2 separate regions of the Mus musculus genome follow, and region 2 is reported to be linked to region 1. Evidence: microRNA targets listed by miRTarBase, many of them from high-throughput screens and not tested one by one. Region 1 holds a microRNA gene; the other region holds the end of a gene's coding sequence.

Region 1 (3,399 bases):
CAGTCCATAGACACATCCCTGCACAGTGCCCTTTCCATAGACGTGGATAGGAGGGAAGGGCTCAGGCCTGGGGCTGTGGAGATGATTGCATGAATAGGGGGCGCTATGCCCAGTGGGTACCTTGTCTCCTCTCTGGGAAAGGATCTCTTCTGATCCTGATGGGAAGGGGCTTAGCCAGCCAAAGGGCAGGGATAGGAGGCTTTGTCTGCTGCCTGCTGGCTACCATCTTGAGTGTGACTTACACCAGGGTGCAGACAAAGTGAGCTTGACCTGGAAGCCTAGAGGCCCAAGAGGCCCGGGTGAAGCAAGTATCTCTGAGATCAAGCCTACCCTTCAGCTCAGAGAGTGGACCCCTGCCTAGGCTCCCACACATGATCCTAGGTCCCAGATATGCCACCCCTGGAGCCCGTTTCAAGGCCCATCTTCCAGAATGTTTAAACCTGTGTATGTAACCAGTAAAATGGGAGTTTGTACTGTGTATTGAATCTGTCTTCTTATTGGCCTCTGTGGGCTGCTGGGGGAGACCTGGAGAGTTGTTTATTCTAGTGTCCCCCACCCCCTGGGACTCTTTGCTTTTGCCCAGTTTTCTTTCTCTGTTGTGGATAAGATTTTGTAGAGTTGTGTGTTGTATGCTTGTGTTTGACCATTAAAAAAAAAAAAAAAGTCACAGCCCTCCTTGATTTCTCAATTCCTATTGGGGGTGCTAAATTCCAAACCAAACCAATCCAAACCAGATTCATGTCAAGTGCCCAACAGGAGGATAATAGCTTGGCTGGATCAAGGGAGCATGTGCAGACCCAAGAACAGAGTGGACAGATGGGCTATACCGCAAGGGGGCTTTGAGAGCTGAGTGCAGGCTAAGTAGAGAGAAGGTATGGAAGGTTGGGGAGGGTGGGGCTGCTGCTACCTGAGTTGCTGAGGGTCTGAGACACCAGCAAGGAGGAGGGGCCCCTGGAAGAAGCGTTTTGAGATGACTGAAGATGGAAGATGGGCGCTCCCTACGCTTCTAGCTTCAAGGTTTTTAGTGTACGCCAGCCGCCTCCGATCGTGGAAGACACAGCCTAACCTTGTCAGAAGCCACCTTCTGTGCCCCCAGCACCACGTGTCTGGGCCACGTGAGCAACGCCACGTGGGCCTGACGTGGAGCTGGGGCCGCAGGGGTCTGATGGCCTCCTGTTTCAGAATCTGGGGCGTTTATCATCCTTGGGACAACTGCTGACCTGGCTCCGGAAGATTGTCCACACAAGTCTGAGTGACGGAGTGAGATGAGGGGGCGGGTGGAGATGCTCAGAAGAAAACAGCCTTTGCATGGGGTTCATTTCCAGCTGTTTAGAGAGTCAGCCAAGGTGACAAGGTGGGGTTGGATGCGGAGAAGAATGCTGGGACTACATGTGGGCTACAGCTGTGAAGTCAGTGACATGGGGCAGCATGGGGATGGGTCTCTAGGTGGGCCTTGTCTCAACATTCATGCCAGAAGATTGGAAGGGGTACCATGGGTTACTGTGGGTCAGTGGGACCTTGGAAGGAACAAGGGCTTGGGTAGGTGACTTTGCCATGTCACCTTGGGATCTAGTTGTTTTGAGTCTTTGACTCTTAATCTGATCTTGAATAACAAATGTCTCTAGTTCTGGGGTTCTGAGAGTCTGTGGTAGGATTCCCTAGGATTCGTGTGGGGAGGGCGGTCTGCATGTGCTCCCAAGTTGGTGTCCCAGCCCTTCTGCCTGCTCAGGGCTGTCTTAGACATATTTGCTTTTCCTTTCAACATCATAAAAGAAGGCAAATTTTGTCTTTTGATTGACACTCATATGCAAACCACAACATCCTTTCTCTGATAATACTGGGACCTACAGCTCTCCTCGGCTCCCCCCGCTATTTGAGCCCACCTTTGGGGCAGGTAGGCCAAAGGCCCTGGTGTTTTCTGAGGTGAAGTTGTTAATGTAAAGATGTGTAACTCAGAGCAGGGGGAAGAAACACACCCTCAACTCTGCTTCCCCGTGCTCCATCTTCCTTTCTGCCTTCCAAATTCTTATGAACACCGTTTTTTTTTTTAAATTTTTTTCCATTTAATGAGCATCCTTTTTTTTTTTTTTAAAGCTCCATTGGTGGTGCTTACTTTTCTGTTGGTGTTTTGTGTCTGTTGCAATGAGCATCTTGCTGTCCACGTTTTCGTTGCTCCATGGTCTCTCTCACCTGCTTGAGTTCCATTGAATGGCTATGACATAATGATCTACCCATCTTACTGTTGCTGATGCATGATCATCTCCTGTCCTGTTTTTTTTTTTTATTTTACATTACCGATGACACCATAACTAATGGCTTTGCACAACCAGCTTTCCCAGCATCCCTAGCGCCCCCTACATCTAGCTCTTCCCATGGTTCCTTTCTTTTCTCCTTGCTTCCTTCTGCTAGACTGTGAGCCCACTCAGGGCAAGGAGCTTGTGGAACTGCGCTCTGTATTTCTTGTAGGATGTCTATGAATGTTGACTGCGTGTGTGTGTGTGTGTGTGTATGTGTGTGTGTGTGTGTGTGTGTGTGTGCGTGTGTGCGTGTGTGCACGTGTGCGTGTGTGCGTGTGTGCATGTGTGCGTGTGCGTGTGTGTGTGTGTAAGGGTGGACAGGTATGAGTGATGGAGTGATTGAAAGATTGGCAGACAGATGAGAGGCTAGATGAATGGATGAGTGAATGAATGAATGAATGAGTGAGTGAATTAATGGATGGGTATATTCTCTGGTTGAGCTTCTTGGATGAAAGGGTAATGTTTGAATGGCTGTTGGTTGATTGAAGAAAGCCTACAGTATTTTATCTTGTCTGATAATGTATTAGCATTTAAGCTGATGTATTAGTATTTAAGGTGTCTGCTGACTTTCCTCACCTCTCTGTTAAAAAATGCTTTTGTGTGTGTAAAACTTGTTCTAATTACTAATGAAGGCTGAATACTTTTCACCCATGTTTGTTAACAAATTGTATCTTATCTTCTGTGAACTGTTTGTCCAAGTCCAGTGGCTCATGGCTCTTTCAGGCTCTTGGTTGAGGGTGTCCTTAGACTAGGCAATGGCCTTTCACAGATATCTACAGAATGATGTGAGAGGCTCAGCTGACTTCTAGCTCGGCATTAGAATTTACTTACCCTGGGAAACAGGGAGGCTGATATCTTGCACCAGCAGGTAGAAAACACTTTTAGGCTTGTGTCTGGGTTCACCATGCATTTCTAGCTTGTGAGCCCTGACCTGTGCTCTGTACCTCTTGTGGTGTGGCAGTCCTCCACCTTGTCCTCCTGAGTGATAGACTACATATATGCCTCTCCCCTGTTCTGGGGTGTAGTCTCTGAGGCCATGTCTTAGAGGAACTGGCTTCTTAGTGCTCTGTCTAGACATCCCCTTAGCTCTAGTCTTCCCATG
Region 2 (3,399 bases), not on the chromosome of region 1:
AAACACTTGCGCTCAAGGACTCAAACACAATACAAACAGCGCCACCAGTTCCCACCCCTGGGGGCCCCAGCTGAGCTGGGAGTCCCCTTGGCTTTTTTTTTTTTTTTTTTTCTTTTGTGGCTGTTTTCCTTTGTCCCTTCCCTGGCCTCTGGTGCTGGAGGGCAGGTGGAGGGGTGTGCTGGGGCAGGTGGAATTTGTATAGCAGTTACACAGAGAAGATGATCACAAGAAAAGCTACCTAAACAATGTAACAACTAAGTCTAGGGTGCCCACAAGATGTCAGATGACGCTCATAAAGGGGGTGGGGACACAGTGAAGAGACAGATTGGCTCTGGCGGTCCCTAGAGGCTCTGTGGGGTAGGGTGGACTGGCAGGTGGGCCTTGCTTTCAGGCCTCACTGACAACTTTGCTCTGGGTAGCACCTTCAGAGCCCTCCTGCCTTGACCCCCTAGGTCAGGTGATGGTGGCCTCACAACCTCCCCCATGAGGTAGGTGAAGTATTATTACCATCATTTTACAGATGGAGAAACTGAGGCCCAGGGAGTGTGGGTGACTTGCCCAAGATCCTAGGACAGTGGTGGCAGAGCTCTGGTGCCCTCCTCACCCTCAAGTCCCTCCCCCCCATTTCCATGTTCCCCCAGTTGCCCTAACATCTTATGCCCAGCCTCTGTGTCATCCAGCTGCACCCTGTGCAAACCCACTCTGTTCTCCACCCACTGTTTGCAAGGTCTGGCTGGCCCCCCCACCCCTCCACCCAGGCTGGGTCACTACTATTCCTAGTAGTCTGAGGGGAGAACAGCTATGTGGGGGGATGCTGAGCTGACTGGCTAAGAGGTGCAGGAGCACGCTCTGCATAAACCCGCTGCCAACTTTACACCTGCTGGTGCAGGTTGCTCGGGCCCCTCGGATGCCTTGGTGGAAGCACTCAGGAGACTGAGGCAGATGGAAGGAAGGATGGCAGCGATTTCTCTCGAGTTTCCAGACTTTCTACATTACCCTCTTCTGTTCCCACACAGCCTCTGCAGGGAGTTGGGAGGGTCCCTTTCCTGGGGTTACACCCAGCTGGGCAAGGGAGTTGGGGATGGTCCTATTTAAAGCAAAAGCTGTAGTATACAAACATTTAGATTTACAAGTAATATGGGTAACTATTTGTTTTACAATGGAATTATTCACTCTACGAATGATTCACCTACTACATAAGGGATTCCTCCAGGTCCCTGGGGACAGGGTGTGAAATCTGATTTAAGGACATTTTGCTATGGACAAAAGGAGATCTCCCACCTAGAGCAGAAGGGTGAGCTTAAGGGGAAGCCCACTGAAGGAAACTGTGCCCACATAACTGTGTTCCCACTGTGCTCTAGATAAGCAGATGCAGTCCAGAGCCCCTTCCATCCTTGGGGTGTCAAGGTGCCAGTCAGGGTAGAACTGTATTTATGGTCCCCAACTGCTACCATAGATGTGGTGTTCTGGTGCCACCTGGTGGTAGAATTAGGGTATGTTGGGCTCAAGTCTCTGAATTGGTTTTGAGGCTCTTTCACCAGCTGGGTCTTTTCAATACAGCACAGAGGGACGACAGGACTTAAGAGGGATCATTCTGGAGTCTGCTATTTCCAAAGGGAAGCCAGTTCTAGTCTCAGCAGAGGCGGGGAGAAGGGACGACAGCTTCTTTGGGTATGGCAACTTCAGACTCCTGGAATGCTCCCCGCTTCCTCTGCTTGCGTGGTGGGTGGGAGGGGCAGAAAGAGCTGCTACTCTGGGGTGGGGGTAGGGGTGGGGGTGGGGTATGTGTCAAGACAGCCTGGAGAAGGCCAGGGGTTGATCAGATTATGCAAAGAAAAGGTGGAGGTGTCGGGGCAAGGGGTGGGGATCGGGGGCTATATCCAAGCCAGAGTGTGGAGCAGATGCCAATTTGACTGCAAAATGAGATTTGGAAAGGTGGGGGTCCCTGGGCGAGGGGTTAGGAATGCCTGAGAAGGATGGGAGTGGTGCCCTGTTGGAAGGCCATGCACACGGTGAGTAGGTGCCTACAAAGTGTGAGCCCAGGCCCAAGGGACGACATTGCAGTAGAGAGTTGCTACTGGGGAATTGTGGGGGTGGGGGCTACAGAGACAGGCAAAGTGGGTGCCAGGAGGCAGCTGAAACAGCCATTTGCCCTGGTCCCCACTTCTTCTCAGCCGTCCATACCCTTCCTCTCCTACCTTCCCTGTGGCCTTGACCTCTACCTGACCCAGCCCTACTTCATCCTCACGAAACTCTGCTATTTTCCATAGCCAATCAGCACTGCTGGTCCCAGGGCGATAGGGAGTGAGCTCCCCCTTTCCCACACGTGCGCATGAGCTTCCAGGTGCACATGTGTACACGCATGTGGGCACACACACACACACACACACACACACACACACACAGTAGACACAACACAAATACACAGGGCCACATCTCCAGGACTCTGGAGCACAGGCTATATACTATCCTCAGTGTCCAGGGCCCAGCCGGCACCTGAAGCTGGGGATGGGCCTGATGACCAGGCCGTGGCCAAACGCCTCGGCCTTCCTCTTCTGGGCCCCAAAAAGGGGATCTAGGGAAGGGGTGGCTTCTCTCCACTCCAGGCACTGCCTTAAAGAAAACGGGGGCTATGCCCACCTGGCGGGCCTCTGGAGGGATCTGCCCATCTGGCTCTTGAGCTCTCCCCCACGTCTTTAGTATCAGCAAATCAGGAAAGAAAGAGGCAAAGCAGGGAATGGCTCCCAAGCCCCCACCCCTGAGCTGGACTCATGGGGTGGGGCTGGTACTTCCTAGAAATGGGGCCCAGTAGAGTTCTGGTACCCCTCCCTGGCTGAGCCCTCGGGGTCTCCCCTCACCATGGCAGGGGTGCCGGGCTGGGCATTGTGCATAAAGTGGTAGGGGCATGATGGGGAGCCAGGCCTTGGCCCTTGGAGCCTCCCTTGGCCCCACTCAGGCTTTCAGCTGGTGCCACTGGGCCACAGGCTGCCGGGGACGAGCGATCATGTCCTTCCAGTGTTTCACTTCACCTGGTCCGCTCTTCCAGGACAGGTAGATCTGGGGAGGAAGAGAAGATGCGTAATGGCAGGCTCTGAGGCTTGGGCCCTGTCCCATAGTAACAGCCTGGCCCACAGAGGCTGCCCCTTTCCCTTCCTGCCAGCCTGACCTAGTTTCCTGACTGCTATCCCTCAAGGGCCTGGGCATGCCTGGCCCTTTGACATCAAACTGTTACCTATTTTGCAGTGAAGGTCAGGATACAGGCATTTGGCTGGGGCAATCTTCCCTGACCTAGGAAGGGACACCATTGTTATTGTCTCTCCCATCTCCCTGCATTTCCTGGCCCCGCCCCTGACTTTGTACTGGGGGCTATATATCTCGAGGTCAGTGTGTGCTTCCAAA

What was found. Region 1 holds the annotated microRNA mmu-miR-770-3p (CGUGGGCCUGACGUGGAGCUGG, at 1,129-1,150, shown strand). A microRNA usually pairs through its seed, bases 2 to 8, with sites in the 3' UTR of a target mRNA and lowers its output. Matches are read on the target gene's strand: a 7mer-m8 pairs with bases 2 to 8, a 7mer-A1 pairs with bases 2 to 7 and ends in A, and an 8mer does both.
Region 2: miRTarBase lists Syt7 as a target of mmu-miR-770-3p. Seed matches in the 3' UTR shown: 7mer-A1 at 2,364-2,370 and 7mer-m8 at 375-381.

Annotation. Positions count from the first base shown.
Region 1 is chr12:109,562,616-109,566,014 of GRCm38, forward strand. Mir770 (microRNA 770) reads left to right here and starts at 1,077; the gene lies at 1,077-1,170. The region is part of intron 9 of Meg3 (maternally expressed 3); the gene reads left to right. It also overlaps a transcript of Rtl1 not described here.
Region 2 is chr19:10,447,998-10,451,396 of GRCm38, reverse strand. Syt7 (synaptotagmin VII) reads right to left here. Exons shown (of 12, transcript NM_001373944.1): 12 at 1-3,057. The coding sequence ends at 2,953. Among named protein-coding and RNA genes, the nearest start is that of Lrrc10b, 7.8 kb to the left of the region's middle.